Linked DNA regions of Mytilus edulis. The protein of the gene in region 1 purifies or fractionates together with the protein of each later gene. This does not show direct contact. Links are inferred from orthologs where the notes say so. Each region holds a gene or a part of one and is shown on either strand. Other genes may lie near its edges. The genes, in order: 1-phosphatidylinositol 4,5-bisphosphate phosphodiesterase gamma-1-like; leukocyte tyrosine kinase receptor-like; ras GTPase-activating protein 1-like.

Region 1 (10,725 bases):
TCTTCTCTGAATATGGAATAAAACAATTACTGTCTTTTGATTCGATAAATATGGGGTTTAATTGACTTTTGAAAAACTGATATTCACTTCGGCCGTCGGCCTCAGTGAATATCAGTTTTTCAAAAGTCAATAAAACCACATATTTACCTCATCAAAAGACAGTAATTGTATATTATAACATCAAATTGTAAAACGCAAAATTGCATTTATGTTCTAACGTGTGGAACTTGCAAATTACAATATGTTGGTGAAACAGAAACACCATTTAACATCCGACTAAATAACCATCGGTAATTTAATACAAAAGAAAGGAACTTCCCAATTACAAGACACCTTTTAAGAGCAGGACATGATTTTGAAATCTTCACATTTCTAATCATTGAGAAAAATCAAAATTGGGATACACAACATGCACAAGGAAGACAAAAAAGAGAGAGATTTTGGATGCACCAGTTACGAACTCTTGATCGAACCTGATGGACTCAATGAGAGAGACGAACAAAGATTTAAAAGCAAATCAAAACCATAATTATCTTGAAATCATACAAATTAATTTATAGAAATTCATACAATTAATCGAACATCTATATAATAATAATATTAATCCATTGTTAAAGGAAGCTTTTTCTCTAGCACAGTCTCTAGATTTGACAGGAACTTACTCATGGTATACATATGCTAAAAATATTGTTAAAGAGACTAACGTTGACCTTAATATTCTTTCTACTTGTAAGGACATGTAACGTGTAACCAGGCGTTTATATCTCAAACATCCGTTCCAGTAAATACTTGGATCCAAGTTGTCCACAAACAATACGGTAATGTTAAAAACTACAACTATCTAAATTATGCACATTGTACTAAAATATACACACTGACTCTTTGTCGAAATAAAGTAACAACGGACAATTATATATATACAAATATAATACAATAAACCAGCCTGTCCTCAAGATGGGACGATGTGTCACTTAGAGACAGTATAGCTGGGATAGCTTGTCCTCCGAATGGGACAGTCTGTCAATACAAGACAGAGCGGTCTGGTACAACTTGTCCTCCAAGTGGGACAACCTGTCACTACCAGACAGTGCGGGCTGGAACAACTTGTCCACCGAGTGGGACAGTCCGCCTTGTCAATCCGTTCAACTTGTACGTTTACTTTGTACCCGGTACAAAGTGTCCTTTGAATATTAAGGCTCTTACTAGCGCTTAATATAACCAACGTACGCTCATCGACAGCCAACCGACAGCCCCGAATGCTGTTTCTCACTCTCTTATATACCCGGGGTCGATACCACTATTTACTTGATAGGGGTGTTCTCTAAATGTTATCCTCACGGAGCATAGAGAGTCCCTTACTATCACCCCTATAACTTTCGACCCGGCCACTTATTTTCCCGCCAAACGTCTAAATCTTCGTTACTCTTTCTCTAGCGTAAACCATGCATTTCTACACTAAGATTCTACTCAACTGTAACCTTAGCGACCAATAAACATTACATAACCCACGCCTCAATCTACATGCGTCCCGCATGTTATATTTAAAATTACAAAATTTAATTCAACAACATTTATACATAATTCAAATTTTACTTATTTACATTATCAGCCATACAGGCTGGTCGCTTACTCTCGTGACGACCATTGTCCTCTAATCTCCACGAGGCACGTTTCCTTTTCATTGGGCGTTTTCTCCTAGTACACTGATTGCAACCAGCAACATACGTCCTAACGTCGGATTGCAAACCAGGCCAATAGAAAGACGTATTTTCTCTATAGTTTTATGTATACCTAGGTGACCTGAACACTTTGTCTCATGACAGCATTGTAAAACTTGCTTGCGCTCAGACATTGGAATTACCGCTTGTAATTTCACAACGTTAAATTCACAGTCCATGTGGCGTCTAACTACTACATCACCATGGACTTCTAAACAGCCAAACTGACTCCATAATGACCTAATAAAGTATCCCCTACCGGATACCTCACTGTGCTGTGGCCTTTGACCCTCTGTCAACCAGCGCTTAACAAGTTTAAGGTCCGAGTCATTTGATTGTAACTCTATTAAAGCCAAGTCTTTACTTTTGTGCTGCATCTGACTTGTGACTATGTTGACCGGACTTTGTTTTCTCTTAGAACAATCACGGTCCGTTTTTGACTGTCTGTCTGATGTTAACCGACAAGGTTTTCTACAAACATCAGTATTTCTCGTTTTTGCACCTTCTAAGAGCAGGGGAACACTAACGTTATCAATATGTAATAGGTTAGCAGGCACGTCAATCAGACACTTATTTTTCTTCATAAAGTCTAAACCTAGAATGCCATCGACTTGTAAGTCAGTTACAACAGCCTCTGAAATAAACTTCTCATTACCAAACTCAAGTGTAAAACTACCCTTACCATTAAGGCTTAAATATTTATCACAAACTGACTTTATCTGGGACTTTGTTTCACTTAAATGTGGCCTACACAAGTCAGGTATTAAATCATACACTTTTGAAGAAACTATATTAAGTGTAGCTCCCGTATCAACCACAAACTTTACTGGTACATCTTGAATACTCAACTCCACAAAAATACCTTTACCCTCTGAAGCTGAAACAACATCGCCTTTGTCATTGTTTGAAGACTTAACTTCAGACTTCAGTGTCTTGACCGTACCGTCTGTATATGTTCCGTTGTTATCTGGAGCACTTTGCTTCTACTTATTATTAGGACATTTTCTTGCAAAATGCCCTATTTCTCCACAACTAAAACAGGGACCACACCTTTTCCTTTTACTTTGTGTGTTATTTATCTTCTCCCTTTGTTGGAACTTTCTTTGGGACTTTAAATCTTTAATCTCTTTTGCTATGGCCAGTAAATTATTCTGAATCGTTTGCATCCATGTCGTCATTTGTTCCATAGATACAGCCGTAACAAGACTATTAGGTGTTTCTGTCCGTTCGTCACCAGCAGTATGTCGTAAATGACCCATACTGTTCAGTGTTTTGCTCTCAGCCGTGTTATACGCTTCAAGCTCAACTGCCAATCGTATAGCATCGTTAAGACCTTTTGGACGGGACTGTTTAATTCTCAGTCTCATTTCGGAGTCTACTAACGCATCTATAAATTGTTCTTTGGCGAGCGTGTCCCTTAATTCTAACGGAGCAGTCGGGTAGGCCAGATTAGAAAGTCGTCGTACTGACTGACCTAACCCCGGCAAAGTCTCGCTTGCTTTTTGTCGACATTCCTTGAATTGAACTCGGTATAGTTCAGTTTGACTTGAAGGAGCAAAGCGTTCCTCAAGTGCATTAACTAGGTCTGAAAATATTTGTCTCTTTTCCTTTGGTAAATCACCAAGGACTGCTTGAGCCTGTCCAATCAGTGACACGGCCAAGTACAAACCTTTTTGGTGTTCAGACCACATATTGACTAGGGTACACATCTCAAAATGTGCTAAGTAATCTATCCAAGGAGTATTGCCATCATATTTTGAAGGTTTTATTTTAACATAATCCGAACCAGAGCAAACAGTATGAGCAGTACTTTGATTTTTCGTTAATTCCTGCTTGTGATGGAAATCTCGATATTTATTTTCAACAACCTTCGGACGTTCACTCTGATCTTTATGTGTAGATGATATTAAACCTTGTCCATATTGTATTGTGCTTTCGCTAAGAGACTGTATCTGTCTACTTATTTCCGCTATCTGATCGTCAATATTTGACATATTTATAGCAGTACAGTGTAATCAAAATAAAACAATTTATATTAAATAATACACCCGTGTTACAACTCAGCCGTGACTTACAACTATGCCTCACGGTTGGTTCACTTTTATCTTTCAAGTAAACACTGAGGTTAACTGACAATAAATTAAACGATCAATCAATCAAATAGTATTTGATAGACAACTTGAATCCCAACCGCTAGCCACCAAATATGTAACGTGTAACCAGGCGTTTATATCTCAAACATCCGTTCCAGTAAATACTTGGATCCAAGTTGTCCACAAACAATACGGTAATGTTAAAAACTACAACTATCTAAATTATGCACATTGAACTAAAATATACACACTGACTCTTTGTCGAAATAAAGTAACAACGGACAATTATATATATACAAATATAATACAATAAACCAGCCTGTCCTCAAGATGGGACGATGTGTCACTTAGAGACAGTATAGCTGGGATAGCTTGTCCTCCGAATGGGACAGTCTGTCAATACAAGACAGAGCGGTCTGGTACAACTTGTCCTCCAAGTGGGACAACCTGTCACTACCAGACAGTGCGGGCTGGAACAACTTGTCCACCGAGTGGGACAGTCCGCCTTGTCAATCCGTTCAACTTGTACGTTTACTTTGTACCCGGTACAAAGTGTCCTTTGAATATTAAGGCTCTTACTCGCGCTTAATATAACCAACGTACGCTCATCGACAGCCAACCGACAGCCCCGAATGCTGTTTCTCACTCTCTTATATACCCGGGGTCGATACCACTATTTACTTGATAGGGGTGTTCTCTAAATGTTATCCTCACGGAGCATAGAGAGTCCCTTACTATCACCCCTATAACTTTCGACCCGGCCACTAATTTTCCCGCCAAACGTCTAAATCTTCGTTACTCTTTTCTCTAGCGTAAACCATGCATTTCTACACTAAGATTCTACTCAACTGTAACCTTAGCGACCAATAAACATTACAGACATAAAAGATGTAAATAAAATAAAAAACGATATAAAGTTAAAAATGAAAAATAGATATGAAGATTTAATTCAAAATAAATTTCAAAACATCGATGATAAAAGTAAATTTTTTCTCTATAAAAAACTTAAAAAAGATTACAAACTAGAATATTATCTAAATACATCTAATTTTCAGATAAGGAGATTAATCACCTAAATTTAGAATAAGTGATCACTCCCTCTTGATTGAAAAGGGGAGATATTTAAAATCCCAAGAGAGGAACGTCTTTGCCATAAATGTAAAATACTAGAGGATGAGAAACATTTTTTACTATATTGTGAGTATAATAAAACTCTAAGAAATGACTTTTTTCATCACATATGTACAGAAAATAATAACTTTAATAATTTAAATGAAGAAGAAAAAAATCATTATTTACTAAATCCATCATCGCCTTTACAAACAAATAAGTTAGGATCCTTCTTGAAAAAGTCATTAGAACTGAGGGCAGGGGACTCTTAACAACTTGTTTGTTGTTATAAATTTTGAGGCCCCTCATGGGGGGTCCTAGTAATCACATAATCACCATTTTTTTGCCAATATAATCACATAATCATTAAATATTTGCTTATCTTTAGTAATCAAATAATCATAAACTAAAAATACAGTCCTAGGTAATCAAATAATCATGAAATATTTGGCTTAATAATCAAATAATCATTAAAAAAACGGCCAAGTAATCACATAATCAAAAACCCCACGAGGGCCCTCAATTTTAATGCTGTTGATATTTTGTATGTTTAATATGTATGTATATATGTTTATTGTGTTTAATGTATTAATATATGTTGGTCACAAACTGTAAAGTTTATATGACAATAAAATATTTGATTTAAGGTGGTATGGGTGTCTTCCTCCATCTTGGATTGTAAAAAACAGAGAATCAAAGGTCTAGATTTTACATCAAGTTAGCAAAATTTGATGCAGGAATGCAGATGTTTAATGTACATTTTCATTTAAAAGTACCAATTTATAAGAATATAACTTCTAAATATTGATATTTTTGCAAATGTTAATTATTTTTGGTTGTTTTTATCTTTTTTTAAAATTGGCATTTTAAGGGGAGGTAACTCTTAAAAAGTGCATTTTCTGAAGGATTCTGTATGGAATGTTCCTATTTTATATTTTAGCCGGAAAAAACGTACGGTGACCCTATCTTTTCTTTTGATATTCTCAAAGCAGTGTCTGAAAGCTATCTTTTCCTGAAGTATTTAACAATTCTATCATTTTGTTTAGTTTCTAATCACAAAATGTTGTTTTTTCCTGTATAATCCATACAAAATGTGTCATTTTGTCCCGTCCTGTAGCTTGAGAAAATGCGCGATGACCTATCATTTTTATTATATTTTTCAACATGTATCAATAGATACAACATTTTGGCAAAGTATGAACAAATTCTATCATTTTTATTTTAGACTCCCATACCACCTTAATTTGATTTATATAAATGTGTTAAACTTTTATTCCAACTTCATGTAGTTGTAGCTACAAACATATTTTTTGTAATATGTTACACTTTTCCTCAAATCTTGTATAGATTAAGCTACAAAATATATTTTTGTCATGCATCCGATTTCACCTTGAGAGATGCATACGCCTGATGAAGCTAATTTGTTTAGCGAAATGTTGCGTATTTCTATCATGACAAACTAAAATACATTAGAGTTAGCTCCCTTGTGCAACAGGTGCCCGTAGTTATCGCCCTTGGAAAAGACGTTCCCGGAAGGTAATCCAAAAACCTAAATTCACATATATCTTGATATATATTTAAGTGTCAAAAATGAATAACAAGATGAATAAATAAAACTCTTCACGATAAAACATGTAGACAAGGATACGTTATGACATGTGACTAGAAAAAAGACTAATTAATGAAGGGAAGTAAACAAAGCAACAAGTTCCAAAAAAATGGCAGCACTTTACAATGGGAATCAAATAGAAAACGATGATTGGGCCAGATTCAGAAGTTTGGAACGTGGACTTGTTGTGACAATATTTTTTGGAAAGAATAAAAGACCTGAGAAACGAACTTTGCAAGTTAGAATAGAAACGAGACAACTGGTATGGATACGAGCACAAGGAGGAAAACCAGAGGGTTCATGTAAGTTCATTCAGTGCAGCTGATGCTGATGATGGGATTTATCCTTTTCAAATCCTGATTCAATATCATATATATTTATAAGTGTATAGTGATGGCTCACAAAGCATAAACAAATGTGTAATTTATAATGTTTATGTCAACATGGTCAAGTATTCTACATTGTCATTGATCATGTTGATCTCAAATAATTATATGACATCTAGGAAGGCGCCATGTATTTTTAAATTTTTGCTTGACGCCTTCCTGCGACATGTAATGTAAGGCGCCAAAGAAAAATATATAATTGCCTTTCAAAATGTCATATTTTTTATAAATATTTGGACTAACGTAGATCCTGGTATTGAAATACATGTACATGTATATACAAACAAACTAACAAATACTTTATTTGCCAACCTCCAATCCAAAATGGACAGCAAACTTTAATGTTGTGTTTTGTGGTAGAACCGGTGTTTGCATTTTATTCTTTTTTCTTTTGCCATGGCATTGCAAGTTTTTTTTTCAATTGAACATGTTGAACATGTTCAATGCCTCTTTGAAATCTTTTGATACTTTTTGGAATTTTAGATAATGCATGTATCCAAGCTACTGTTCTGTTTTAATAATGTTTTCCAATATTTTGCAACTGTTAACGTTGCTTCTCAAATATGAAAATCTGTCCCATATTCAACATGACTGCAATGCAATAATATACTGTGAAAGGGCCTGCATGAATTACAATGTACATGTATGTCATGTCTGGTAATTTTGTTTGTTTGATAAGTTTGTTCATTTTGTTTGATCTGCATTACATGAACACAACACAACAGACTTTGGGAGTTGTAGACACTGCTGTCCAGAATGGTACACAGTACAGCATAAAGTGCAAGTACCTGCCAACCTCTTGGAGCCATTGAGTTTGAATTCTCCCGCACGCTATCTACACTACAGAGGGATATATATGCATATCATTAATTCCATATTCCATTAAAGATTTACAATAAAGTTCTAATTAAGCATCAATGGAATCATGGGAATTAGACATTATTTTAACATGTTTAACATGTTTAAATTGTCCAGTTTAAACAGATAATAGATTTAATTCATGTAATTAGCATACTTAGTTTAAACACACTCTTGTAGTTCATTTTAGTTGGGGCCCATACTGAATATATATGTAACGAAAAAAGGTTTATGAATTTTAAGAATACTAGTAATAACTATATATCATGTATATAGTGGTCATCCATTACAGAAACAGATTCCATCATAGAATCTTGTACAGTATGATGTTGATGTATCTCTGCTCTTGATATTTAATTAAATTTGAATATTTTAATGGCTAAGCAAGACTCCTTTTAAAGTTGAAAGGGGAACTGCTTCATGGAGAAATGTCACACTTGATGCAGTGGTAGAATACATTCATGTACATTGTACTTACATTTGTTCATGTATTTCTCTAATTCTTACTACATTTTACTTTTCCTGACCAGTTATTTTTTAATAATTAGCGTGTGGTTTGTTTGCTCTCAGTTCTTCTTGGGGTCTAAATTCAATTATGTCATGATATACATGTCAGATATTCCTGTCCTCTGAAAATCTTATTGTGACATCATGAAAAAGGCCAATCATTCCTGACAACATCACAAATAAAGAACACATGCTTAAATGCAGAGCATTGGAAAAAAGATAAAAGTTTTTCTACCATGTCTGACATATCCTCTAAAATTATTAGAGAAACTGATTACACAACCAATCTTGTGCAAATGCCAATATGATGGCTTCAAACTGAAATTAAAACACCAAAATGACAAGCAACATGTAGGTACATGTTACTTGTATGATCTACAAATAGATTTGCAAGTATATACCCAGTATAGTCTTTTTTGCCTAGTCTATGTAAGATAGAATTGAACTGTAAATATGGAAAACACCAGAAATTGTTTGCAAGATTATGAAGATCCACAAGTTGGTTTTGAGGTGGAAATTGTCTAGGGGTTGATCCAGCCCGTCTTAAAAAGGGTGAGCGGGTTACAACTATACATGTATGTCCCTATTCAAAAGCATTGATCATAAAAAAAAGGGGGGTTCTAGATTCCCCTACCCCAGACCCATTGTACACATCTAGTTTTTTAAATCAATTTTTTATTCAAAAGTCTCTGTGATATCTTCATTTTAGATAGATTTAAATTGTATAAACCTGATCCTAATAACATTAATTTTTGTGGCTAATTATAATTTTACTAATTTTTACTGGCATTTGTTGGTAACTGAAAAACCAGAAATATTACTACAAAATGAACTGCAAAAATTTTACTACTACAGGAATTTACTACCAAGGAAATTTTTATAGTATTTGGCTTTGTGATAACCATCTTAGTAGGGAAAACAGGAAAACCTATTCACATCTGATGTAAGTGATGGGGAAGTTACCCATGTCTTCATCTTAAGCTTACACGCTTTTTCTTAATTATGTTGTAAAATGTTTATGATGATACTTTTAGCTAATTTATTTTCCACATGTCCAAATAACATATGCATGTACTGGAAATTCAGAAATGAGCTGGAACCCCCCCCCCCCCCCAATTTAATGCTACTGGAGGAAATTATGTATTAACAATATTATGCATGTTTTTATGTAAATTGATGAAAAATTAAATTAGTTGTTGATAACAAATATATACAGTAGCATAAAATGTATTTTTCAATGTTGACAATTTGGATACTTTAACCTGTAATCTGGTAATTAAAACAGACTTTAACAGAGGCTGGGCAATACTTTGCACATGGCATGCGGACTTGCCTTTGATGTGGGTCTCATTGGGGTCTAAGCGTGATGCGGGATTGCCGATTTTTTGTAAGCGGGACACGTGAAAGTCAAATTATTGTGGCGTGAAAACGGGAAATGAGGTCTAGCGGGACCCGGGAAATGACAAAAAAAGTGAGAATTGCTTATGTACATAGTGTAAGCGGGATACAGGAATCTGACAAAACAATAAGCGGGATCTGGGATCGGAACCCCCCAATGAGACCCCCTTTGATTTTTAGTGGTTGGCAGTCAATTAGTGATTATATGATTATACGTCATTAATTACAATTGATAATCTTAGTGTGAAAAAAAGATTTGAAACTTGTTGAATAAGATATTTTAAACATTTAAGAGTAGTAATATTCAGTTGTTGTGATTATACAATCTACTTGTACAATGCACAATCATTACAAAATTTGATTAAGCAACTAAAGACCTTTGGAATTTTTCAATTCACAAAATTTAAAGAGACAACACAAACTAGGATGTAGCTATCCACAGAAATGCATGTATATAATGTGAAACATGCACAATGCAAAATATTAAAAAGCTATGTGTTATGTTTTAAATTTGGGAACATGAGTTTATTATTTGGGGTCAATATATATATAAACTGTACAAGTTTTAAACTTTGATAATGCCATACTTTACAACTACAAGATCTATACTTGACATATTCTTTTTGATCTGAATTCTATAAGTTATCATATATGTACATTATATAGTGTACAAAATATTTGATATATTTGTGACCGAAATATTGCATTGTTGACTTTTTATTGAATTTCATTTTTCAGTTGACATGTTAGGTATTTTGTGCATATAAATCTATAGGTCGAATAGATATTGAATTTAAAGTGTTTCTTTATCTTGCAGATATTATTGATTTTTTTTTAAACTGATTTATGTATATATCTGTCTAAGGAGTTGTATAGTAAGATATACAAATCCTTGATCTGTCCTACTAAGATCAAAGTTGAATTAATATACAATCTATATATTATACATGTATGATGCATAACATTTGGCCTTTTCATTATATTGGGTTTAACAAACAAAAAACTGTAAAATTACATTCTAAGAAAACAATTAACTGAATTAATAT
Region 2 (10,500 bases), on another chromosome or scaffold:
CAGCACAATATTGAACATATGATGTCCATTAAAATAAAGCACTAAATGTATCAAAGATTTAATCAAATGTTAAAAGTTCGTTCTAGCAGGAATATATATCCTAGAGAACGTACGTAATGGGCTCTGGATAAACCTCCAGTATTTACAGACCGTGCAAGGGCTGTATAGTCAGTCAAGGTCATTAAAAACTTCCATTTGTTGTAGTATACAACTATTGAATTGTATAAGGAACTGTTCTTTCTCTTTATCTTGTCTAGATTTTGGTGCACATTCATCTATACTTTATGGTTCTTAAAAGATTGAAATATGGCGTTTCCAGTCCTGTCTGTGCATTTACTCATGAACCTGTTCAACCTAAGCTTTTCAAATGTTAATTTTGTTACTGATTACAAAATGGAAGTCAACTTCAATAATGATGATTTTGACTTTTACCGTTCAGGAGTTATGGTTCTTGAAAGATTGAAAAATGGTGTTTCCAGTCATGTCCATGTATTTCCTCATGAACTGTTCAACCAAAGCTTTTTAAATTTAAATATGTTGTTACTGATGACAAAATTGAGGTCAAGTTCAATAATGGCGATTTTCATTTTTCCTGTTCAGAAGTTATGGTTCTTGAAAGATTGAAAAATTGTGTTTCCGGTCATGTTGATGCATTTACTCATGAACCATTCAACCAAAGCTTTTCAAATTTAAATATATTGTTACTGATGACAAAATGGAGGTCAAATTTGATATTGACGATTTTCACTTTCACCCGTTCATCAGTTATGGTTCTTGTGATATTGAAAAATGCGGGACACAAATGAATGTTAATAAATCCGGTTTGCTTAAAAAGTATAAGAAAAGAAAAGTTTAGGGGTAAATTTATACGCTCTAGAGTGCAGTGGATTGAAGAAGGTGAAAAACCTTCAAAGTATTTTTGCGGTTTTGAATAAAAAAAATTTACAAGCAAAATAATTCCCAAAGTCGAAAAAGATGATGGGAAAATTATTACAAACCAATTTGATATTTTAAAGGAGACAAAATACTTTTATGAAAATTTATACAAAAATAAGGATACTATTGGCAATGGGTGTAAACTGAGTGATTTAGAAAGAGATTTGAAAGATTTAAATTTTAATAAATTATCTGTGGATGAAAAGTTGAATTTAGAAGGGGAGATAACTATTAATGAAGCTAGCATTACTTTACAGAAAATGAATAATAATAAATCACCAGGGTCAGATGGTTTTTCCACAGATTTTTATGCCCCACCTATGATAGTAGAGGGGCATTATGTTTTCTGGTCTGTGCGTCCGTTCGTCCTTTTGTCCGTCTGTCTGTCCCGCTTCAGGTTAAAGTTTTTGGTCAAGGTAGTTTTTGATGAAGTTGAAACTTAGTACACATGTTCCCTATGATATGATCTTTCTAATTTTAATGCCAAATTAGAGTTTTTATCCCAATGTCACGGTCCACTGAACATAAAAAATGAAAGTGCGAGTGGGGCATTCGTGTACTGAGGACACATTCTTGTTTAAAGTTTTTCTGGAAGGATTTGAAATCTTTTGTTGTTAAATCTTTAAATTATGGGTCAAATTTGGGACATTTATCAGTGACTCAAATGCAGTTAAACATTACATGCTTACTAAAATACAATAAACCAAGACCTATCTCCTTGCTTAATACTGTATACAAAATTGGTTCAGGGGTTATTGCTAGTAGATTTAAAAAAGTTTTATTGGGGATAACATCAGATTGATTTACAATCTTTTACAATATACAGAAGAACATAACATTCCAGGTTTATTGATTTTAATTGATTTTTGAAAAAGCATTTGATTCTCTATCTTGGGACTTTTTGGTGTCAGTGTTGCAATGTTTTTATTTTGGTGAATCTATTATCAACTGGGTTAAAGTTCTATAATAATATCTCATCTGCAGTCATTCAGGGAGGAAATCTTTCAGATTTTTTTCAAATAGGACGTGGCTGTAGACAAGGGGATCCCTTATCACCCTACCTTTTTATACTTTGTGCAGAGATTTTGGCAATTAGAATACGGGGGAATAAAAATATTACTGGCATAACTGTGACTAGGATAGAACATAAGTTATCACAGTTTGCAGATGATACTTCACTTATTTTTAGATGGAAGTGAACGGTTCTTAAATCAAACTTTAAATGAATTAGATTAGTATGCAAATCTCTCAGGGCTAAATATAAACTTTTCTAAAACACAGGTAGTTTAAATTGAGAGTAAACGATACTGTCCAAACAGAAATTTATCCTGGGGTGCAACATCTTTTAAGTTATTGGGTATTAATTTTGATGTAGATCTTGATAAAATTATTAAAATCAATTATAATGAGAGAGTTTTGCAGATAAAAATCTAATCAAAATATGGTCAAAAAGAAATCAGATTGGGAAAATTACAGCTGTGAAAACTCTGAATTACCTGTCCTTAATCCCCTTATAATTACATTGCCAAACCCAAATCAAGAACTTGTGAAAAAAGTCCTAGAATGTACATGACAGAATCATGGAACTATGTAGACTTCAGTCCCAGACTGTACATGACAGAGTCGTAGAACTATGTAGACTTCAGTCCTAGACTGTTAATGACAGAATGATAGGACTATGTAGACTTCAGTCCCAGACTGTACATGACAGAATTATAGAACTATGTAGACTTCTGTCACAGATTCTACATGACAGAATCATAGAACTATGTAGACTTTAAACCCAAACTGTACATGACAGAATCATGGAACTATGTAGACTTCAGTTCCAGACTGTACATGACAGAATCATAGAACTATGTAGACTTTAAACCCAGACTACATGACAATCATAGAACTTTGCATACTTCAGTTCCAGACTGTACATGACAGAATCATAGGACTATGTAGACTTCAGTTCCAGACTACATGACAGAATCATAGAACTATGTAGACTTTAGTCCTAGACAGTACATGACAGAATCATGGAACTATGTAGACGTCAGTCCCAGACTGTACATGGCAATCATAAAACTATATAGACTTCAGTCCTAGAATGTACATGACAGAATCATGGAACTATGTAGACTTCAGTCCCAGACTGTACATGACAGAGTCATAGAACTATGTAGACTTCAGTCCTAGACTGTACATGACAGAATCATAGAACTATGTAGACTTCAGTCCCAGACTGTACATGACAGAATTATAGAACTTTGTAGACTTCAGTTCCAGACTGTACATGACAGAATAATGGAACTGTGTAGAGGTCAGTCCCAGACTGTACCTGACAGAATCATAGAACTATTTATACTTCAGTTCCAGACTGTACATGACAGAATCATAGAATTATGTATACTTCAGTTCCAGACTGTACATGACAGAATCAAAGGACTATGTAGACTTTTTAACCCAGACTGTACACGTCAGAATAATGGAACTGTGTAGATGTCAGTCCCAGACAGTACATGACAGAATCATAGAACTATGTAGACTTCTGTTCCAGACTGTACATGACAGAATCATAGATCTATGTAGACTTTAAACACAGACTGTACATGACAGAATCATAGAACTATATCAATGTCAGTCCCAGACGGTACATGACAGAATCATAGAACTATGTAGACTTTAAACCCAGACTGTACATGACAGAATCATGGAACTGTAGATTTCAGTCCAGACTTGACAAAATCACTGAACTATGAACATGTAAGATTCTTATTGTACATGATGTCAATTACAATGTATAATATTCTTGTTTTTCTATGGATACAATATTAAGTAGAATGATATTTTACAATACAAGTTGGACTATTCATAACAAGAAACAAATAGTAGATTGAATTTTAACTCCTGGTTTTATTATCATTGTAAAGTCTTTGATTAATTTTTCAGGTTCTATTGTTTCAAGTGAGGAAGTGGCCCAGAATACTTCAAGAGAGGAAATGTTCAAATTATAGATCCAAAGGTTTGTGGAATTTCTGTGTTATAACTATGTAATATTGCGGTTGTATGAAGGTAGGTACATGTAGCTTTGGTAACATAATATACAGTTTTGAAGAAAACCATTTAGAGACAAACTTTTATTGTAAAAATGTTGTAAGTCTGAAGAAAACTATTTTTATAAATGACTTAAATATATGGTATATTCAAATACAATAATACGATTAAGTTTAGAATGATGGATCTTAGTTTGAAGAATATTTAAAGATCAATATGGAATTTAGATATGATAGAAATATTGAAAGCAAATAAAACTTTGACACTGAACCATTGTTTTTTGTCTGGCCAAGAAATTAGTATGGACAATAAAAATACTTTCTCCACCAAACTTCAGATTTGAATGACGTATGTGAAATAAATTACATCTGGAGAACAAATGGTAGATGATGAAAATAAATGGCTTTTACATTTGGTGTTTTATTGAAAGTGATAAATGAATAGTGAAAACAAATTGGTAACACTATTTGTTTCATAAATGATAAACTGATGATCCAAATATACTGAATACTAAAACTGTGTCGGAGCTTTTTCATCTTCTTGGCACATTATACAGATTTTTTTCTGATTCCAATTAACCACGGATATATCGACAAAATATTATAAATGGTTCTGTGTTTTGTTAATGCTATCTGAAACTGGCACCAAATTATTAAATGGAAATTGTATATAAAAAATGCTTTTACATGAAAAGTTAAGTTAATATGATATCAAAAGCTCCTAATGGACAGCTTAATTATGTAGGTTTAATATTTGTACAAGTATAGTCATTTAAAAGGTTCTGGAAATTAGACGATATATCAATAAATACAAGGAAACAATAGAGAATATCTTGTCATTGATAAAACTCCTTCTACAGCTTTCTATGACATGCTTATTTACATCAACAATGATCAATGCAATGACTGTGACAGACAAATAAAAACCAAAGCAAATCGGCCACAAATTGATTGGAAATTCTTTCAATTGGAAAATATTGTTGCTCTTATCTAGAGTTATTTGATAAATGTAAAAATCGTCATTTACCAACACTGACTCTCGACATATTGCTTAGTAATCCCTCAAATGATTTTTGTACTTAACCAAAGTAATACAATTTCATGTGAGCTTAACTTCAAAAACTTTCCTGATCAGATTGTCTTTTCTTAATACGCAATTTTATAGAAAACAGGTGAATCTATTGTGGATGAGAAAATCATCATAATAAGGTTCAAAGGCTGAAAATGTTACTATATAATTGAATACCTGTTGGATTTTACTAATATTGATTTTATTGTGCTTTTTGATATTATTTTATAAATCAGCAATACTTGGATACTAGCCACTGAGCAGGACAGACTATGGTTACACCTGTTATATTCTTGTTAATCAATTTTGGAGTCTCGTTATGTTACCTGTGTGATGTTGATTCTAGTTGTGAATTAAAATCTGATAGAGAATTATGTAAAGATAGTAAAAATTGTAAAACTTACAGAACTTCTGAAAGTTCCCATGGGTTTACTGATTCTAATGGATTGGAATATGATATTTACTCCAAAAAAGGTAGGAACAAATATTTAAAGGAAAGTTCAAAAATTGTTTTAAATTTGAGTGAATGTCTTGTTAGAAAAGATAAACTCTGATTAATTGACCATTTTTTTGGAAGTTCAAATGGAAAAGTTCAGTAGGTTAGAAAAAGCTTGTAGGTTGGTATTTCAACATTTTCTTTTTCTTTTTCATCAGTGTTTATAAAAAATTGTTGGTCTTTTAAAAAAGAAGAAGTGTTTCATACAGCAATTCAATTGATAACTACAGCATATCATTTGGGATTAAAAAAATGTAAATAATTGCCTTCTATGGTAGAGTTCATAATTACTTTCACAGAAAAAAGGACACTGTTTTAGGAATCAAAATAGTCGACCAAAACCATCGAAAGCCCTGTGTATTCAGGTTTAAGTAGCAGTAGACAGAGTCCAATATGTGCCCTTGAAGGTTCTTACAATATTATCACATATTTCTAAATATATGACCAAATTATTAATACCTGAAGATAGCTCAAAACTGCTTGTTTGGCAGATTTTGTCAAACTTTGAGTATCTCCAAAAATGTATAAGAATGCCACTATTTACCAAAACTGAATTCTGTTCTAAGTTAATATTAGAATACCTTCGAATTCAACATGAAGCAGTGAATAAAATTGATTTTATGGAAATATATAAAATTTGTGAGTTAAATAATTAGAGTTAATTAGGTAGACTATTAATTATTATTCAAATTTCAGGAAGATTTGATTTTTGACTAGCATTTTGTTGACTGAATTTGTAAAAATTGATTATACTTGATTCAATAAAGGTTTGGGAAATGAGGAGCTTTTATAAAACTTGTAACAAGATCAGTCCATATCCTGGAATATAACACCATCACTGTTAACATCAAAGAAGTTTTATCTGACAAAGCAATATCTAGGCTTGTTAAATGCAAATATATTTCTAAAGAATGAGTAAATGTACATGTTAATTTAAAAAATAAAAAAATTAAGCTAAACATACTCTCAGTATAGTACACTATTAATTTATAAGCCAAAATAAGTGATATGAATTGAGGATAAATGGAGATTTAGGGAAAGTGGAATTGGCTGCTATATAATAGAATGAGATAACAAATATAAATATAATGAGATGTGACATATTGATGTGGTATATTTGTATTAGTGAAAATTTCTGTAATTTAGTTGATAAGTAATAATAGCTAGATTACAATAAATTGGAAGAATATATAATTATCAAGTTAAGGGTATTAAACAGAAGAATATATAACTATCAAATTAATGGTATTAAAATAGAAGAATATCCCTTTAGGAGTTATTGCCCTTTATAGTAAATTTTTAACCATTTTTGTCGAGCCTTCGACTTTAGTCGAAAAAGCGAGACTAAGCGATCCTACATTCCGTCGTCGTCGGCGGCGTCAACAAATATTCACTCTGTGGTTAAAGTTTTTGAAATTTTAATAACTTTCTTAAACTATACTGGATTTCTACCAAACTTTGACAGAAGCTTGTTTATGATCATAAGGTAGTATCCAAAAGTAAATTTTGTAAAAATAAAATTCCATTTTTTCCGTATTTTACTATAAATGGACTTAGTTTTTTCTGCGAGGAAACAAAACATTCACTCTGTAGTTAAAGTTTTTAGAATTTTAATAACTTTCTCAAACTATCCTGGGTTTGTACTAAACTTGCACAGAAGCTTGTTTATGATCATAAGATAATATCCAGAAGTAAATTTTGAAAAAATAAAATTCCATTTTTTCCATATTTTACTTATAAATGGACTTAGTTTTTTCTGCGGAGAAACATTACATTCACTCTGTGGTTAAAGTTTTTAGAACTTTCTTAAACTATCCTGGGTTTGTACCAAATTTGGACAGAAGCTTGTTTATGATCATAAGATAGTATCCAGAAGTAAATTTTGTAAAAAAATAAATCCATTTTTTCCATATTTTACTTTTAAATGGACTTAGTTTTTCTCCAGGGAACCATTACATTCACTCTGTGGTTAAAGTTTTAAAAATTTTAATAACTTTCTTAAACTATCCTGGGTTTGTACCAAACTTGGACAGAAGCTTATTTATGATCATAATATTGTATCCAGAAGTAAAGTTTGTAAAAAGATTACTCAGTTTTTTCTGTAATTTACTTTTAAATGGACTTAGATTTTCTTGCAATCATAAAATAGTACATGTAACAAGAGGAATATTTTTATTGATTTTTTCCCTCATTGTTGTTGAGTCTGCAATTTACAGCAAAAATAGGCGAGACACTGGGTTCCGCGGAACCCTTACAAATTTTTTGTAATCTTAGTTATTTTTTACAAAAATCTTCTCCTCTGAAACTACTGGGCCAAATTAAACCAAACTTGGCCACAATCATCATTTGGGTATTTAGTTTAAAAATTGTGTCCAGTGACTCGGCCAACCAAGCAAGATGGCCACCATGGCTAAAAATAAAACATAGGGGTAAAATCAGTTTTTGGCTTATAACTCAAAAACCAAAGCATTTCGAGCAAATCTGACATGAAGTTAAATGGTTTATCAGGTCAAGATCTATATGCCCTGAAATTTTCAGATAAATTGGACAACCCATTGTTGGGTTGCTGCCCCTGAATTAGTAATATTAAGGAAATTTCGCTGTTTTTGGTTATTATCTTGAATATTATTATAGATAGAGATAAACTATAAACAGTAATAATGTACAGCAAAGTAAAACCTAAATAAGTCATCATGACCAAAAAGGTCAATTGACCCCTTAAGGAGTTATTGCCCTTTATAGTCAATTTTTAGCAATTTAAAATTTGTAAATTTTCACTAACATTATCTACTGTAACTACTGGGCCAAGTTCATTATAGAGATAGTTGCAAGCAGCAAGAATGTTCAGTAAAGTAAGATCTACAAACATATCACCATCACAAAAACACAATTTTGTTATGAATCCATCTGTGTCCTTTGTTAAGTATTCACATAGACCAAGGTGAGCAACACAGGCTCTTTAGAGCCTCTAGTTCTGTATTTTATATTTAAATGGACTTAGTTTTTCTGCTGGGAAACATTACATTCACTCTGTGGTTAAAGTTTTTAAAATTTTAATAACTTTCTCTAACTATCCTGGGTTTGCACCAAACTTGGACAGAAGCTTGTTTATGATCATTAGATAGTATCCAGAAGTAAATTTTGTAAAAAAATAAATCCATTTTTTCTGTATTTTACTTTTAAATGAACTTAGATTTTCTGCCAGGAAACAACACATTCATGCACTCTGTGGTTAAATTAAAGAAAAAATTAATAACTTAATTTCTTATACTATTTTAAATTTGTACCAAACTTGGACAGAAGCTTGTTTATGATCAAAAGCTAGTATCTAGAAGGAAATTTTGTTAATATTTTGTACCTTTGTATCTGTATTTTACTTATAAATGGACATAGTTTTTCTTCCAGTTAACATTACATACAGTCTTCAGTTAAAGTTTTAAAAAACATTTATTAGATTCATAAACTATCCAGGATTTCTACCAAACTTGGACAGAAGCTTCTTACAATCAAAAGATAATATCAAGAGGAATATTTTTATTGATTTTTTTCCTCATTTTTGTTAAGCCTGCGATTTACAGCAAAAGTAGCAAGACACTGGGTTCCGCGGAACCCTTACAAATTTTTCTTGTTTGCAATTTAGTGTCTGGGACTAACAAATATGCTTACAATAGACCTGAGGCTGAGATTGTAATCAGAATGAAAACCTATGAGCTGTAATTGTATCAAGCATAGATACTCATGACCTTTTACCACCAAGCAAGGATATTTATGACCTGTTACTATCATGCATGGATACTCATGACCTTTTACCACCAAGCAATGATACTTATGATCTGTTACTATCATGCATGGATACTCATGACCTTTTACCACCAAACAATGATATTTATGACCTGTTACTATCATGCATGGATACTCATGACCTTTTACCACCAAACAATGATATTTATGACCTGTTACTATCATGTATGGATACTCATGACCTTTTACCACCAAGCAATGATATTTATGATCTGTTACTATCAAGCATAGATACTCATGACCTTTTACCACCAAACAATGATATTTATGACCTGTTACTATCATGCATGGATACTCATGACCTTTTACCACCAAGCAATGATATTTATGATCTGTTACTATCATGTATTGATACTCATGACCTTTTACCACCAAGCAAGGATATTTATGACCTGTTACTATCATGCATGGATACTCATGACCTTTTACCACCAAGCAAGGATATTTATGATCTGTTACTATCATGTATTGATACTCATGACCTTTTACCACCAAGCAAGGATAATTATGATCTGTTACTATCATGCATGGATACTCATGACCTTTTACCACCAAACAATGATATTTATGACCTGTTACTATCATGCATGGATACTCATGAACTTTTACCACCCAGCAACAATACTTATGACCTGTTACTATCATGCATGGATACTCGTGACCTTTTACCACCAAGCAATGATACTTATGACCTGTTACTATCATGCATGGATACTCATGACCTTTTACCACCAAGCAATGATACTTATGACCTGTTACTATCATGCATGGATACTCATGAACTTTTACCACCAAGCAATGATACTTATGACCTGTTACTATCATGCATGGATACTCATGAACTTTTACCACCAAGCAATGATACTTATGACCTGTTACTATCATGCATGGATACTCATGAACTTTTACCACCAAGCAATGATATTTATGACCTGTTACTATCATGCATGGATACTCATGACCTTTTACCACCAAGCAAGGATACTTATGACCTGTTACTATCATACATGGATACTCATGACCTTTTACCACCAATCAATGATACTTATGACCTGTTACTATCATGCATGGATACTCATGACCTTTTACCACCAAGCAACAATACTTATGACCTGTTACTATCAAGCATGGATACTCATGACCTTTTACCACCAAGC
Region 3 (11,124 bases), on another chromosome or scaffold:
TGTACAAAGATAAAAAAATAGTTTTAACCCAAACAAAGTTGTATAAAAAGAAAAAGAAAAGACAGTAGAAGTCAACAAAAGGAGACATAACTAACAGTTGGATACAAAAAGAATTACTGAACTAGGTTGCTGTAATTCAAATTTTACTTGAGTTACTGAGAGTTAGGCTCATTTTTTGTAGATAATATTTTACTGATAATATCTATCATTTACACTTTCTCTATAGAATTTCTATACTTTGGACACACACAAATAAATGGTACGAAAGTTACCCCCACTTGTAACTACAATATATAAACAAGAGTCAATAAAGGGACATAACTTGAGAACAGTGAAAGTAATGCCACCCATATTCAATCTTGATATGTGTTAGTGGTAATAATTTGTGTTGAAAGTTCATATACCATTTGGTTGAGGCAAAGTAGAGTGTTAATCAGCAAATTCAGGTGTTTTTCCATTTATAAAGGGACATAACTTAGGAACAGTGAATCTAACACCAGCCAAATTCAAATTTCAACTGTTTGGTAGAAATAGGAATTATGTTAAAAGTTTCATTTGGTTAAGGCAAACTTAAGTAAGAAAACAGAAACAAATTTCAGGTCATGCATACAGATAGATAAGGGTAAACCTTTTAAGCCCCCTTCAAGAGCATAAAAACTTTTAAATCAGCAAAAATCCTCATTTCAACCTGAGCAATAACTCTTTGAGGAGTCATCAGACCGCTAGGTAGATTAATAAATGGAACCACTTCTTGCCACGTATCCTGTTTAAATTGGTTTCAAAAATCTTGATTTTCCTTTATAGTCACCATTTTTGTTTACCTGTGTGAATTGAAGATCACTTCAGCTAGTTGTTGCCTTTATACTGATTTTGATGGCAACAATTTAATACTTAGCTATAAGTTAAAGCGATTTTGAAAATATTGTTAACTTATGCATTAAGCTTAATCCACATTTTGGCTGCAAGATTATTCCCTGAGGTAATATTAATTTACAGTAATAATCCTTTGCAACAAAAAGAAAAGCTTTAATTCCACAAATCCACAATTTTCATTAACATACTTTCATTTTATTTCATTTTCATAGAGGAACAAATAGCATACATATGATAGATTCAGGAATTTCTTTTTTACATCTTTTTGTTGTAAATGTTGCACGCCCATTTAAAAATGGGCCCTTAGAAAAAAAGATTGTCGTCAAGTTGGTTATTCTTCAATCTTCCAACTTAATGTGTTTACATATATTTATAGCATGTTTATCATGTATATATTTTCAATATCAGTTGAAAGAATAATTGAGGGGATTTTGGTTCTGCTTTTGTTTTCCAGTTGATTGTTGACTGCTCATGTATATGATTAACTTTCCAGAATGATATAATGAGTACAAATAAACTCATCTTTGATACCATGCCAGGATTAAATTTAACAAAGAGAAAATTAAAGCAAACATGTATATAGTGTAATATTCATGCCTCCATTTCTTTTTTTTTTTACTTTTTATTCAATGAGTCGACAATGTCATTGGTCTAGATGTACAAGAAAGATATTTCTATACATTTATAACATGATAAATAGATGAAAAATTAACAAATAATAACAATACTTATGCATGTTTTTCAGCATCGAAAAAGTCATTTTGCTAGAAAACTTTAGTCTAGATACTCATTGATTCAAACACTATTACTGGCCAAACACCCTCCAATCTAAATTGGACATGTTGGAAGGAGACATTTGTAGGATTGCAATTAGGGATAAGGGGGCCACCTAAACCCAATCAGAGGCCTTGTACCCTGACAGGCCATTAGGGGGCCAGGGATGCTAAGTGATGATCAATTGATATTCAAATCATAGGCTGAATTGATTTTGTCAACAAAATATTCAGGATTCTAGTATTTTATTGTGTCATTTAAGAAAATCTGAGATATTTCAAGTGACAATATATAATGCTGACCATGAAGGAAACATTTTTGACAAGATAATCCCAATTTGTTTTTTTATGAACAGACGCACATTGTTACATAAGTATGTGCTAGTAATAATTTATTGTGTCTCTTTGACCCCTTTGGAATATCAGAATGGGACATTTACAGTGATCTGGAAGGTTTTTCTCACTATGGGCCCTGGGCCCCTCAAAAATAAATTCAATGGGCCATTTTAAAAAATAATGGGCCATGTTGTCAAATGAGTGGGCCATTTTAATTGACTTCTGTAAAAAAAAAGATATCAGTATATTTTGGCAAAGAGGTGTTGATACTTACCTTTATGATTTTAAATAAAATCATGGATATTGTTCCTGTGATTTTATTATTTCAATTTCAATGAGCATACAATAACTTCTTCCAACCCCAACAATATTTAAGTCAACCTTTATTTACAATGTTTAAACTGGTACTGTTGCCTTGTTCATGTTCATGGTTTTTTTTTGTACATTAAATTTGGGTCTTCGTCGATACCATACCTATTCGAGACATTCCGTATCAGAGGACATTTCAGGCATTTCCTCTGCACTTCTTGTATTATTATAACTTCATCACAGTGACAAGAATAACATATATAGTACCATTCATAGAACATACATTGTACATTAACAACAAATCGCTGAAGTCATGTTTACAAAATGTGAAAACGAGCCAAAGACCAAAAAATGACAAGGACAGTTAGGCGTCTTTTATGGAGACAAAAATTATATTCCTAAAAAGTCTTGGGGTTCTTCAATCAAAATAATAATAAGCTAAACTAAATGAGATTATTATTAGAGTTAAATCTCGTCTGTACTAGCCATATTTAACAAATTTAAAGTTGTTTATAAACAAATATATCATGAATGATGGTTAATTACGTTTTTCGGGTTATCAGTTAGACCGCAAGGTTCTATTATTACAATAGGAAAACACCGAGACGTTAAATCGCATGGTTCTATTATGATAGGGAAACACCCGAGACGTCCCAAAAATATATAGGTGCTCCTATTATTGGAGGAACATTACACAGTTGTGTACACACACATGGCGGCACGGAACACGATCGGAAATTCATTTGACGATATCTAAACATTTTGAAACAAAGTGAAAAATATCATGCGCCACGTGGGCGCTTACATTTGTCACTGTATGCACCATTTCTTGTCAATATGTGCTATAGGCGCACGTCCTTCCCGATCACTGCATTTAAACCAAAAATGGACAAGGTGCAATCCCAATGATCTCTCATTTTTGTAGATTTGCAATATTTCAACCCAAACAGCTATGTCAAAGAAGGGTGAGGGTGAATCTCCCTGGTTTAAAGTTGAGTTAGCAGGTGTGATATATCGATGGTCATTGTTAACAACAGAAAAAAATGAAAACATATTTAAATGACCAATTTATAAATTAAGGGATGGATCTGACATTTGAAGTAGATCCTAAAATGCTCAATCTTAAGGCATGTTGGCACAAACTATCCCAATGTGCAGGTTTTCTCTTTTGTGCTTTTGCTCAGCATATTTTCCTCTTTGTGCAATAAAATGGTATGCGCTGGTTGCATGTAAGATTGGGACATGACATAGCATGATGAGTAAATAATAAGTCGACAGTACCACTGCAGTTTGAAATATGCAAGTCCTAGTTGCAGAACCGTAGCTCTATTCCGCAAATAGACAAAATATCATAACATAAGGACCTAAGAGCTACATGTACCATTTTGAAGCTTCCCCGAATCAGTTCTTTTAAAATAAATAAGTCTCCCTAGCTCACATTATCGTATTTTTAATAAGCCAAATGATTTTTGAGGAGGCATCGACTTCAAATATTGATAATAAATTTGTTCAATTGATTTTAAAGCCCATTAAAAGGATATTATGATTTGCTGTTTTACCAGGAAATAATTATAATTTATCCTAATTTGGATCTGTCAACTAATTTATAGACATTTTGTTTTCTTAACTTCGCCTGCATTTGAAATATTTTTGCAAAAATCATGCTGATTATCAAAAACAGTGACTGAATCATCTATGTGATTTTACGTTGTAATATTTATGTACAAAATGAAAATTTTAAAACGAAAAACACACCGGTTTTCGGGTGGCGCATTCATTTTGATGAACAGTGTCTGCTCAACATTATCTTGGTTTTCTAATGAAGGATCTTCATCATCTGCATTTTCTGTCGTTGTGTCATCAGGGCTCAATGCAGGGCTGGACAGACTGTGACCACTTGTTGATGGTGAAAATTTGTTTTTGTCGGCCATTGTTACTTTTACGAAGATGAATGAGCACCTACATTTTGATTGGACAAAATTATTTCCCGCCAAATTTGGCAGATTCATTCATCAGTTCTGACCTTTACTTTTGAAATAATTTTGAAGAACATTAATGTTCTTCTTCACTCCAGCTTCAATTATTTAGGTTTTCATTCACCAGGTGTTTAGACCTTTCGACTGAGCAAATTTTCGAATTTTACGATGTAGAAAAGAAAGAGAGGGGCGAATTTGGGGAAATAGGGTGAGTTGGCTCTTGGGTTGAAAAGTGGGGGCGAGTTGTCGTCCTCTAAGAATTAAACAGAAAGTAGAAATTTTGCTAACTGCATACTGATAATAAATATCAGGGAACAAAACAACTAGAGGAATAAAAAGAAGAAGGTACGTCGAGCAAAATCAAAATATGATTTAAGGAATGGGAAATATGAAAAGGGTTGAAAAGCTGATACTGTTTTAAACATGTTTAAAATAATGTGTAATTTACAAAACCGAAAGTAGACATTAGTGTGAGTTCGTGGTCTAGTGGTTAAGACCGATGGCTACAGTGCTGAAGGTCCCGAGTTCGATTCTCACTCGGGGTTCTAAAAATATCAGCACATCAGAAGGGTAATTTTCACCCTCTCACACACATCTCTGGTACCCAGACCGGAGTTTAAACTAGAATGTGTACTTTGGGGGCCTGGGTTGGTCAAAGTTGTCCCTTACTTTGACCTGGAGATCAATCTTCTGATATCTCTCTGGTTTGTCTGTTTCCACCGAGTGGCCCGGTGGTTCTCTCCGAGTACTTCGGCTTCCTCCACCATAATAACAGACTGCCCAATCTAATTAAAATTAAATCTCTCACTCGCTCATTTTTTAATGCTTGGTCGCTGCGAGTGAGAGATTTAATTTTAATTAGATTGCAGACTGCCCGGTGTCCTAGCACTCCCTTTGTGTTGGGTGGGGATTGATTGTCCTTGGAAAAATAATTGTCGTATAAACATACGTTAGTGACACATCTCCATTAATCCCGTTAGGGAGTGTACATGGATGCCACTGTACCCTCGCAGTTTTCAAGGGGTTCTTCGGATATCGGAGGCATTTACCAGTACATACAAATGTACATACATACATCGCCCGAGTCAAGAGACATTTAAATTAATACAATTACATGTCTCTGTCTGAGCATAAAACAGGGACAGATTATTCTTCTTTATAGTTAGTATAGGCTGTCCCTGATAGAAACGAGCAAAAAGAGGAAAGGTATTTTTTTCAAAAAAAATCTAGTTTTTGCAGGTGCACACGTACAGCTCATTCTCGAGGATAGTAATTACTAACTGTCAGTCGTTTAATGGTTATTTTTGGCTACCATTAGCGTCAAATTGGTTTAAATCTTACTGTGATTCATCCAAATATCCTTATCTGCTCATTGTGATTCGTCAGAGATCTCAAATAAATATTGTTACCATTATGTTAATAAAAAAATTAACATAGAATTGAGAATGGAAATGGGGAATGTGTCAAAGAGACGACAACCTGACCATAAAACAGAACAGCAGAAGGTCCACAATAGGTCTTCAATGCAGCGAGAAATTCCTGCACCCAGAAGTGTCCTTCAGCTGACCCCTTAACAAATATATATACTAGTTCAGTAATAATGATTGCCTTACTAAACTCCAAATTATACACAAGAAACTAAAATTAAAAATAATACAGGACTAACAAAGGCCAGAGGCTCCTGACTTGGGACAGGCGCAAAAATGGGGCAGGGTTAAACATGTTTATGAGATCTCAACCCTTGCCCTATACCTCTAGCCAATGTAGAAAAGTAAACGAAAAACATGAATAGTCAATTTCAATCGAATCTTTTATCGTCTTCTAGAAAGTACATTAAAAGTCGTGCACCATTACGGTTAACGTTGTTTGGCAAGAATTTTTACTGTTTTTCGTCTTGAACATGTTGAAGGTAGCCACATTTAACTGCCCTCATTGTCTCAACCCAAAACAACACAAGTTACTATAGCTACTTCAGTATGTGAATTTCTTCATCTTTTATATATTGTTTTAATATTTATGTATATTTTATTTTATTCATTCGCAGATGTTAATCTAAAGACTCTTTTTCCTGGCTGTGGACTTTTTCGTCCATAAGTTAAAAAAATTCTCTTCATTTCTACTCAAATAAATTTTGAAATTCTTTAACATTTCTCAGCGATTCTTCCTTTATTGTAAACAGTCTGACAACCATAAAACAATTTTGATGAAAAATTTGTAGAATCTTTGTCCAAATAAATGTTGGAATCACTATAGTTTATTTGAATCTGCAAGTATCCTAGCTGTTACTAATTGGCATATATTTGTAAGTGCAACTTTCATACCAATTGAAAAGCCTGATTTTGGTGATATTCTGGAGTCAAACATAATATAATTTTCCTTCAAATTTAATTTCCTTTTCTGTTCAGTATGGTACTTTTTTTGTCAAGAGTTATTTTTTCAATTAGATATTATAGAAAAAACTTGATTTTAATATGACGTGTTTCTTTCGCTTTATGATAATAAACCATGCATGCTCTAAATCCAATATTTTTTTTTGCACATGCGTATATTGACTACTGCAGAATAATGAATTTTATCAAATTGGCATGCATTTAATATATTTCATTAAATTCAAACACTTCCAAACTCTTAAATGATGCACATATTGTTATTAATTCATTTATTATGACTGTAATGTGTTGCATTCCAAAATTGACATATTTGACCTAGATACGACAACCGAATATTTACCACCAGAACGCTTGAGTTTACACAATTTAAATAAGCAAACAACAATATATCAATCATATCAAATCAAGTTCAAAATCATTTTAGTCAAATCTATGAAGTCAGCAGGACTGATCAGGACTAGTAAGGAAAGGGAGCAGTATAAAAAAAAAGTCCTCGATTTATCATTGATTTGATACATTGAACAATAATATTTTATCATGTTTGTAGAGATAATCCAAAAATAATGTTTTATTATTTTTCCAGGACTTTACAATCAACAACCATAATATTTAAGAGGGAACTATCCAATCCACAACAATAATATTTCAGAGGAACTATCCAATCCACAACAATAACATTCAAGAGGAACTATCCAATCCACAACAATAATATTTCAGAGGAACTTTCGAATCCACAACAATAACATTCAAGAGGAATGAGCATATTAGCCAAAATATTTCCTCTAAATGAAGATGGTGCAAGTGATAATTATGAAAAGTTTAAAGCCTTCTGGAGCCAGGTTGAAGGATGTAAAGTTGAAAAGATTGATATGAAGAACTATACCCCACCTAGAAAAGCAGAAGACTTTAAAAAACAGTTAAAGGATTGTAAGTTATAAATCAAACCACGTGAGATTATTGTTATGAAACAATCAATCAACAATCAAGGGAAACTTCGCCAAAAAATTAAAAATTGATATTATGTCCATTCTGTATAAAAATGCTCAAATTCATAAATTAATATTAAAGTTTTATTCTGCTAGATAAGTGATATCACCATTGATTTTAAATTTAAAGTATCAATTCTCTGCATGTGTCCATTTTGTCATCCTTTCCAATTAGGAGCCACGATATGTCTATAAACCACAAAGGACATAAACTACAGTAACCAAATGAAGTCGTAATTGCGTGTCGGTGTCAATGAAATCGTACGATTGTTTTATCCAACTTACTAACTTGATACGGAAAATGTTATTATTTTTTAAATAACCATGGTCTGTCGTTTAAAACTGTTTATATAGGAATTAGTTAAAAAGTCAAAGTTCAAAGTCATAAATGATAAATGCCAATGAGAAAATTAACTCTCCTCCATCCAAGTCACAATGTATAAAAAGTAAACTATTATAGGTCAAAGTACGGTCTTCATCAAGACGCCTTTGCTAACACCAAAAATCAAGCTATAAAGGGCCCCAAAATGACTAGTATAAAACAATTCGAACTGGAAAACCAATGGTTTAATCTATATAAAAAACAAGGATCAAGAACCACATCAACAAACTTCCTACAACCACTGCATGAACAACATATTCCTGACTTAGGACAGGTGCAAACAAATGGTGCTGGGTTTTAACCTTCACCTTAAGCTAGCTCACTATAAAATAAATGTAATTGCTGTCATAATAAAATAGATAGGTAGGAAACCTAGAGTTGTAATGTAATGTATATAGTATAACACTATTTTTTTGCCAGTGAAAAATACATTTGAGGAAGGAGGATATGAATATCTTGTATTAGCTGTCAGTTCACATGGGGTCGAACAAGAACAAGACACTGTTGAAAAAGATAGTACCGGTAATGACAAAACAGGAATTGAAGTGTCTTTAGAAATTGCATGGCGATCAAACAGATACAAAGTAAATGAGCTGCTGAAAATATTTGAAGACGTTAAAGATAAACAGAAAATTTTCATCATGCAGGTACTATCATGATTTAATTTGCACTTTAATCTTCAATATGTTCATTGCTTTGAATCCTTTCGTAAAGGTAATTTACATATCTAGAAATGTCAGTTGTTTACGCTCTGTCTAAAATGTTAAAAGAGAAAAGCAGCATTATATTTTCTTGCCTATGCTCCTTTCAGTCCATTCATTCCTTAATCCTTTAAAGTAATTAGTTTATGGTGCATCGAAATGAATATATATGTACCAAGTTACAAGTTGACCTTTTGATTTAATTTTAAAATCAAGATAAAATAAAAATCTAATACTAGTACACAACAACTGCAAAAATATCAAAGGAAGATGTTTTTTATAGCACAATTGAATTGATGTTAATAAAAACAACCAGTTACAGTAACTTACTGCAGGGATGGTTGAGTTCTGAACAGAATAATTGGAATTGAAATTTGCAATTTACCACTAATAAAAATGTTTTATTTCAGGAAAAACACTTTTCTAAAAGATATCATTACTGTAAGATATGTTTTACATTAGAGCTATTTTTCTAATGCTTATAGTGCAAAGGTACCATTGGCTTACTTTCTTTGGTTTTTAAAAGTTTGCGCACAATATATCTATTAAAGCTTGCTTATTGGGTAGCTGTTTCTGATGTCCTTTCAGGGACGGCAAGAATGTAAATTTGTATTTATATTTAACAGATGTGCAGAAATAGATCAGATGAAAGAACAGTGACTAAACTAGGGAGAGACCAAGGAGTGCATCATTCAAGTTAGTATGTAGGGTCTTTATTATTTTTGCCAGTTGAAGCGATAAATAATTTAAGATGAGCCTTATTTATACACACAATTATTATACTGATATATCATTAATATATAGATTTATATTAGCAATGTCTTAGACCCTTTTCTTTGAAAATCAGTGCTGATCAAATATTTTTAACAAGTTATGCCCCTTGGAAAAGTTCAGTATAAGAAAAAGAAAATTTACATTTGCTTTGAATCCTCCATTTTTCTAAGATATTTATAAACTGTTCCAAAAATGTGTGCAACAAGGGGGACATTAGAACTCTTTTATTTTATATTCAGTATTGGAATAACAGTAGGGGGACAGTCAGTGTAACCCTCCTGGAATGTGTAGTTGCCTATTTGATCCTCTGGATACCTGATATCAGATTTTGGCAGAATTGAGACATAAATCAAATAGAACCAACAATTTATTTACAAATGACAACATTCATATAAATCATAGTCAAATGAAATGAAAAAGAATAGTAAAAGTTCAAAAATAAGATGTAATGAAACAGTAATAGTTTGCAAACAAAATGGTATTTCAGGTCAAATGAATTCAAATAAAAAAGGAATTTTCAAAATCTGAGTTGAAAAAGTAAGTGAAACTGTATTTATATACTTTGTGGTGGGTTTCAGAATTAAGTAAAGCATAACAATATAATGCCAAATTAGTTGCTAATATTAAACTTGCTGTAAACATTTAGCACACTTACAATATGAGTACTTTATTAAGTACACTCAACATAGAATGAAATTCAAAACAGTGTAGCTGTGGCCATTGATTGACACATTAAATTCATCCATTGACTGGGACAATTTACGTGAACGTTTGTCTGTAACGACCACTGTTCACGACGTACCTATGATAGACATACAAACTGTGGGGTCACCAAAGGTTTCTTAACGCCTTTAATTATAAAATAATTCGAAAATTGAATCAGGAATAACCTTTATGTTTTGATTTATATAATTGATATCAATCAAAACATCGTGTTATTTCTGATTAATTTTTCGAATTACTTTATTAAGGTGTTGAGAACCTTTGGTGACCCGATAGCTTAAGTGTCTTTAAAAAGTACATAGTGAGAAGTGGTCGTTACATACAACGTTCACCTAAATTGTCCCAGACAATGGATGAATTTAATGTGTCAATCAATGGCCACATCCACACTGTTTTGAATTTCATTCTAGAAGTATTTTATTAAGTACACTCAACATATGAGCATTTTTTTAAGGAACATTCACCATAGGAGTACATTTATTAATGGCACTCACCAATATAGTATTTTATTAAGAACACTCACCAATAGAGTATTTAGTAAGGGAAACTCACCATGGGGGTACTTCATTAAGGACATTCACCAATGGAGTATTCTATTAAGAACACTCACCATAGGCGTATATTGTTTAAGAATAATCATATGAGTATTTAATTAACGGGGTAAGTTCACTCATCATTGGAGTATTTATCTATTACATTCACCATAGGAGTAATTTTTATAAAGATAGTCACTCATCATTGAAGTATTTTATTTACTACACTCAATGACAGATCCAGAGGGGGGTTTCTGGGGGTTGGAACCCCCACTATTTATTGACAATCAATACATTTTATATATTGGCCATTAATATCACTGAGCATCATTTGATTTCTAAAAAACAAATTTGTAGGGTTCTTTGAT

The links.
Region 2: the proteins of 1-phosphatidylinositol 4,5-bisphosphate phosphodiesterase gamma-1-like (region 1) and leukocyte tyrosine kinase receptor-like purify together in Homo sapiens (affinity purification with western blotting; 3 studies listed by BioGRID, with this or other methods). This does not show direct contact. The link is inferred for Mytilus edulis from reciprocal best matches to the Homo sapiens genes PLCG1 and ALK.
Region 3: the proteins of 1-phosphatidylinositol 4,5-bisphosphate phosphodiesterase gamma-1-like (region 1) and ras GTPase-activating protein 1-like purify together in Homo sapiens (affinity purification with western blotting; 3 studies listed by BioGRID and IntAct, with this or other methods). This does not show direct contact. The link is inferred for Mytilus edulis from reciprocal best matches to the Homo sapiens genes PLCG1 and RASA1.

The regions. Positions count from the first base shown.
Region 1 is NC_092348.1:47,715,162-47,725,886, forward strand, and holds the start of 1-phosphatidylinositol 4,5-bisphosphate phosphodiesterase gamma-1-like, read left to right. Parts: upstream 1-6,392; 5' UTR 6,393-6,639; coding exon 6,640-6,832; intron 6,833-10,725. UniProt on the Homo sapiens protein: Mediates the production of the second messenger molecules diacylglycerol (DAG) and inositol 1,4,5-trisphosphate (IP3). Plays an important role in the regulation of intracellular signaling cascades.
Region 2 is NC_092346.1:97,159,014-97,169,513, forward strand, and holds the start of leukocyte tyrosine kinase receptor-like, read left to right. Parts: upstream 1-5,194; 5' UTR 5,195-5,318; coding exon 5,319-5,520; intron 5,521-10,500. UniProt on the Homo sapiens protein: Neuronal receptor tyrosine kinase that is essentially and transiently expressed in specific regions of the central and peripheral nervous systems and plays an important role in the genesis and differentiation of the nervous system.
Region 3 is NC_092347.1:29,163,382-29,174,505, reverse strand, and holds the start of ras GTPase-activating protein 1-like, read right to left. Parts: upstream 4,257-11,124; 5' UTR 4,223-4,256; coding exon 4,047-4,222; intron 1-4,046. Other genes in the region: uncharacterized protein, read left to right, coding at 7,413-7,584, 8,446-8,672, 9,353-9,422. UniProt on the Homo sapiens protein: Inhibitory regulator of the Ras-cyclic AMP pathway. Stimulates the GTPase of normal but not oncogenic Ras p21; this stimulation may be further increased in the presence of NCK1.